Schizosaccharomyces pombe: one gene and its partner. The protein of the gene in region 1 interacts with the protein of each later gene in a biochemical or structural test. Each region holds a gene or a part of one and is shown on either strand. Other genes may lie near its edges.

Region 1 (3,300 bases):
TACTTAAATTCTTTTTCTCATCTACTGTTTAATGTATTCTTAACGTTGTTAACTGAATCATATTAACTTATGTTCTATATGTTGCTAGTTGTTTTATTCATTTTAGTAATACATTTTCAAAGTTATTTTTCTTCATATACATTTCATCGTAAAGAGTATTTTCTAAATAATACCCAATTTTGAGAAGTGTAAAACAATTGTCGAAATAGTAAAAATATGAGTTGATCTACGCAGGACTGTTGCAAAGAACCGCAGCATAAAAAAATGGTATTGGATCATCCAAATTAAACAGATTGTTTCACTTACTGCCCATACATTACAGTCATCAATCGTAAATACCCGACTGGGCTTTAGAGACGTAATTTCAGTATTCATGATTGATGCAAAAAAAATAACTTGTCATACATTTCTATGTCAATTACCATTGCTTGAATTGCATAAAATACACCGTTCGAACCCCATATTTCTTAATTATACAGATTTACACGCTTACAACACGATTGAGGTAAAAAAATCGTACTTTATGAAACAATCGATAGATATAAACCAAAAACAAATTTAATTATTTGCTTTCCCATATCCACACATTCCCCTCTAACATTAGAATATAGAGGAGAAGATCCTTTTGTAATTCCTAAGGACCTCCCTGATAAACGGAAGAACGCTTTAGTTGTAAAACAACTTACAACTTGGACATAGCGGCGATATCGGTAGATTGGACGTAATCTTCGAAACCCTCAAGCTCCTCTTGAAGAGCTTCCAAGGAAACCTTGTCGTCCTCAACAACCAAGTTAATTTGGAACTTGTTGACACCGAAACCAACGGGAACAAGTTTGGAAAGACCCCAAACAAGACCGTCCATTTGAATGCTACGAACGGCCTTCTCCAATTCGTCCATAGGGGTTTCATCATCCCAAGGCTTAACATCCAAGGTGACAAGAGACTTGTGAACGGCCTTGGGTTTAGCAGCCTTCTTCTTGTTGTATTCGGCAACACGCTCGGCCTTAATGCGCTCAGCTTCAGGATCCTCCTCTTCGTCAGAGCCAAAGAGATCGATCTCATCTTCTTCAGCGGCAGCAGCACCCTCAGGACCATAGGCAGAAACCTCCTTGGCGGTACCAGGAAGAGTGGCAAGGTCATAAGTGGCAATTTGCTTGTACCAACGAGCACCGTTGGGGTACTTGGCAGTATCAGGAGCAACGCCAACAGCCTTAAAGACTACAGCATCAGCTTGGCTAGGCTCATATCTATAAAACGTTAGAAAGGATTTGGTAATTAAAAAACATCAAGCTCAGTGAAAAGATACAAACAAAGCATTTTCACGTTTTTTGTTAAAAGACGGCTATCGTGTCTAATTGAGAGGGCTTTAAAAAATAGTCTTTGCACTTGTAGATATGCCATAGGGAACTTTTAACAAAGGAAAAAAAATACGATTTGTGATCAAATGGTATTTCACTATTATTTTGATGCATTTTCCGCACAAAAATGACTTACCCTTCAATGAAAGACTTGTCAAGCAAGAAGTCGTTAAGTTGCTTAAGACCAGCGTCAGAGGTGAGATCAGAAAAACCCATTTTTAAAGTAGTTGGTTGTTGGCAGAAAATTTTAGAGTAGTTTGTCAAGAGTTATGGAGGTTTTACTTATGTTAATAAATTAATATTATTTCAATTTTTTTGTTAATATATACAGCACTACACTAATTGATATTGGATACAATGAAAAAAATATTGCGCTATTACAAAATATCAAAAATTGTCTTAACATTTGATATTCGAGAAGATGAAAAGAAATGTAGAACTATAAATTTGTTGAGCAAACCAACAAATGGCTTCATGATTAAATTATGGGCATACTTTCGAATGAACACGCTAAATATACGATACGACTGCAGGTTAGTCACACAATCTACAAATACTTACAAACTTGGTTTGTTTATATACATGTATGGTGTATCCATATTATTTATGTATAGATTAAAACTAAGTAAAAACAATTTCCGAATTCCAACACGTACCCATAAAACGATAAAGCGTCATTCTCATGGCACCAAATATTAATATCCAAGGAACCAATAAAATATAAAGGAAAAAAAGTAGAGCTTTGTAAATTGATCAAGACACTCTATTTATTATGATCAAAAGAAAACAGAAGTTATGCAAAAGGAATGATTTTTTTCTTACAGAGGTATTCCCGATTTTACCGAGATTTGCGACTAGTTTTTCTTGGGCTTTCGGGGACAACAAATTTAGGTAGAATTTGTTTTTCCACCTCTTGTTCCTCTTCTTCAGAAAGCATTTCATCTTCCGGGATGACAAAGTCATGATCAATGTGACTTTTTCTAGGTGATAATTCTGCATTTGGCGACAAAGAAGCTTCCAAATTGCTTTCATCAAACGCATCGGCATTTGCTTCCAAATCATTGTCCATGTCATCATTTTCTGCTTCATCAACTACCTCTATATCGTAGCCTGCTTCATCCACATCCTCATCGATGTAATCGTTTTCCTCCTCTTCTTCTCCATCTTCACTCGAAAAATCAAGTCGACGTTGCCTCATCTCTTCCTGAGATAAAACCATATTTAATTTTCCGGACAAAGAAAAAATTTTAGTCATTAAATGAGCACTTTGTACAAGCTTTTCATGTAACTGAACAAGTGAATCCTGCAAATCCATGACGGTGGTCAAATATCCACCATGTGTAACAATAATCCAATGCAACCAAATCGCAAGGGATGGCTGCATATTTATCAACATGGCTGGGATTAAAGTTCTAGCTAAATCAGCCGCAATAGTACCATCCATATTGCGAACAGTGTTGGATACAACACCAACATCAGAGCAATTCAAGCATTGCTCCAGCAAATCTTTCGAATCTGCATTTTCTTCAAATTTGATAATATTACCGGTTGTGGCAGCCATGGTTGCCTTTCTACCGCAATTTTACCTCCAACTGGTGGTGGGTTGAGGATAGAAATTTGGTGAATACAAACTGTGCACTACTCTCAAAATTTTACTCTCGTACAATTCGAACTTCGCTACTTTAGCAATATTCCAATAATTTGATAAATGAAGAAATTATAGATTACACTTTGTTAAGCCATATTAAACACATGTACAAAAAAGAACAAGACTAATCTAATAATGTATAAAGGGAATTTGTATTATACAGCGACCTATCGGGTGTTAAAAAGAAAAGACGAAAGAGTGACATGAAAAAAATCTCGCTTGACAAACAGACATCTCAAACAGGGTTTATAAATGGCTATATTACAGCTAGAAACCTTCCAAAAAAAAAAAGGA
Region 2 (3,194 bases), on another chromosome or scaffold:
GGCGATCTAATCGACGTGATAACTGGAGAAAGTTATCATATCTTATCATTTGTAATTCTAAAAGTAAAATCGATCAACTCATAAAATAACATTTCACTTTGCTGCACTGTAGATTTTTCTTATCAAATCTATTGGTGTACTAAACAGACTAGCTAACGTTTGCTGATCCGATCGACTATAGCAGCACACTCACTCTCTATACCATAAGACGTTGCCGAACCGACATCTATCGTCATTCAAATAATCTTTGGATTTGGTAATTTTAGTCGTTTACATACGCTACTTAGTATTTTTTTGGATTTTACGCTTTTCTACTAAAGTATACGAAAATTAGACTACCTTTCGTGAACAATATAATTGACCAAATCTTAGAGCTGAAATTTTTTGAGAAATATGTCTTATATGCATTCTTTAAACCTGATGCTGCAAAATCCCAGCGGAATTGACAAAATTGCTGCCATTCTTGTCAACGTTGCGAGGTTGGATCCAGCATCTTCGAAATCAACTGCTCAACTGGTTTCTATGCTAAATGAATTTCGATGTATTTTACGTCTTCCTGGTCTCTACAAATTAATCGTAAATTTTCGTAAAGATTCTTCTCCTGAAACTTACATGAGTAACGCAATCAATATTGGATACTATGTCACAGAAGGATTGGCATTCTTAGGCGGCAAACAGATTATTTCCATATCAAAACCGTTGGAAGACAAATTATGGCTTTGGTCTTCTAGATTTTGGCTTCTCGATACTTTATTGACCATTTACCAGCTTTTGCGTGAAAAAACAGAAGACGAAAAGGAGCATCAGTTAGACTTAGCTTCAAACTTGGCTAGCCTTCCTTTGTGTATTCACTGGTCTGTAGAAAATGGAGCTGGTTTACACAAACACCAAATTGGAGTTCTTGGTCTTTTCAGCGCAATTGTACAAACTAGAAAACTAATCCTCTCTTTGCACAATAAAAGAGCTTAGTTACGAATGAGCTTTTTAAATTTAAATAGAAGTTACTTTTTTCATGTAATTCTATTCGTGCTCAACTATTTTTCGTTTTCTCGAATGTCTATGTGAGTAAAGTAGTAAACAAAAGTGGTAACAGTCGTCTTGGTTTTTTCAGCAAAAATCGAAATATGCCATTCTAAATGAAGGGACTGAATCGGTTTAAAGCTTGAAAGGTTTTAGAAATGAAGTCGATTTTAATCGTTAATCCATTCCATTAAAGCGTTTTAAATTTTGGGATATTGATCGAAAATTTAATCAACGGAAAACATTAAGTTACTCTTTGTTTGTCACCAAAATGTACCTTGTCATTTTTTTCTAATTGAACTGAATATCTTTATTAACGAGTGTTTTTAATGGCCCTGCAATTTCAAATTGAGGATGTACGATATCATACTTTTAAGTATATCATATATAAACGTTAAGGAATTATTATCAACTATAATGCACTACTTTTTTAGGTTTCTTCTGAAGCTCAGTACTGTTGAGAATGTTCTAATTACGACTCAAGAATTGACGGATAATAGCTCGAATAATAAATTTGAGGCGACATAAATGGTTACAAGTTGATTAAAGAACATAGAGATTAATACACATACTGTTAAATATGGTTCAATTGTTGAATTCATTTGGACTTTAATTCCAGCTTTAATCTTAATTTTACACGCATCATAATGGTTTCACTCAAAAAATCAGATTCAGTAATATAAAACAATTTACTACTGACTGAGTACAACGATATTTTCATCTAAAAAAAAATCTGAAAATATAAAGAATATTGTTATTTAAAAGAAAGGAGAACAGACTACGACAAATTGAAAAAAATGAAGGAATTGGTAAACAAAATGTATCTATCGAAAACAACGCTGTACTACGTAAAGTGAATACTGTTCGTAACCGCATTCCATACGGATGGCTAGAATCCAGTAACCCTGCCCTAAACTGTGACTGCTTTATCTCATTAAACCTGCGAGAAGTCAAATTATGAGCTACCATCTGCAATCACCATGTTGTTGTACAAGGACGTTATTTCTGGAGACGAACTCGTTTCTGACGCCTACGACTTGAAGGAGGTAGACGATATTGTCTACGAGGCTGATTGCCAAATGGTCACTGTCAAGCAAGGTGGTGATGTTGACATTGGTGCCAACCCTTCTGCCGAGGATGCTGAGGAGAATGCTGAAGAGGGTACTGAGACTGTAAACAATCTTGTTTACTCTTTCCGTTTAAGCCCTACTTCTTTTGACAAGAAGTCCTATATGTCTTACATCAAGGGTTACATGAAGGCTATCAAGGCTCGTCTTCAAGAAAGCAACCCCGAGCGTGTTCCTGTTTTCGAGAAGAATGCCATTGGATTCGTCAAGAAGATTTTGGCTAACTTCAAGGACTACGACTTTTACATTGGTGAGAGCATGGATCCCGACGCAATGGTTGTCTTAATGAACTACCGTGAGGATGGTATTACTCCCTACATGATCTTCTTCAAGGACGGTCTTGTTTCTGAGAAGTTCTAAATGCAAATTTGGGTTCTTATAAGGGAGTTTCTAACTGGGAACATGATATCATGTCTAAATTTTATAGTTTTGTGAATTAGTTTTCACAAAATTTCATTAGGATTAGAACAGGGGTTTTTGTTCTGATAATAATTAATTATGCTAGCTTATAATCATGTTCAAATTGAAATTAGTGTTTTTTTATCGATTTTGTATTTGGTTGAATGGAAGATTGAGGTATCGATGTTTTAAAACGTGTGTGCTAAAATTCATGAATCTATTTATATATTAACAGGCCGAAATAATTTAGTAAGTAAGGATATGGTTTGAAATTTGGTATTTTACCATTAATTTAGTGTATTTTTTTGCTTTTTATCGAAGTTGATAATTCAAGTCCTTTACGAGGAATAGCCAAACTTTTGTTATGGCGACACTAGACGACCCGGTAGCCATTGAAACTTTGTTACAGTCGAAACTATAGTTTACTGTTAGTACTAAAGATTTGGGAAATTTTTGCTCGACGATGTTATTTTTGTAGCGGACGACTATTGGATTAAATTTATGCTTAATTGTTAAGCCTTTTAATCAATCTTATCATTGAGTTAATAGACTAGTTGCATTTAATTTTGTCAATGTATATTGTTACGTTTAAATAGTAAACTATATAAGCAGTTTAAATCAACGAGTTTAGCTACAATATTCCCCTAA

The links.
Region 2: the proteins of tef5 (region 1) and tma19 form a complex in vitro, tested with the Schizosaccharomyces pombe proteins (one study listed by BioGRID).

What each region holds. Positions count from the first base shown.
Region 1 is NC_003421.2:1,731,048-1,734,347, reverse strand, and holds tef5 (translation elongation factor EF-1 beta subunit, guanyl-nucleotide exchange factor (eEF1B)), read right to left. Parts: upstream 1,598-3,300; 5' UTR 1,575-1,597; coding exon 1,495-1,574; exon of another isoform or gene 1,354-1,494; intron 1,248-1,353; coding exon 683-1,247; 3' UTR 501-682; downstream 1-500. Other genes in the region: ribonucleoprotein complex protein Utp502, read right to left, coding at 2,197-2,919.
Region 2 is NC_003424.3:3,808,841-3,812,034, reverse strand, and holds tma19 (translationally-controlled tumor protein), read left to right. Parts: upstream 1-1,987; 5' UTR 1,988-2,000; coding exon 2,001-2,507; 3' UTR 2,508-2,690; downstream 2,691-3,194. Other genes in the region: SPOM_SPAC1F12.04C (uncharacterized protein), read left to right, coding at 394-969. UniProt on the Schizosaccharomyces pombe protein: Involved in calcium binding and microtubule stabilization. May be a guanine nucleotide-free chaperone (GFC).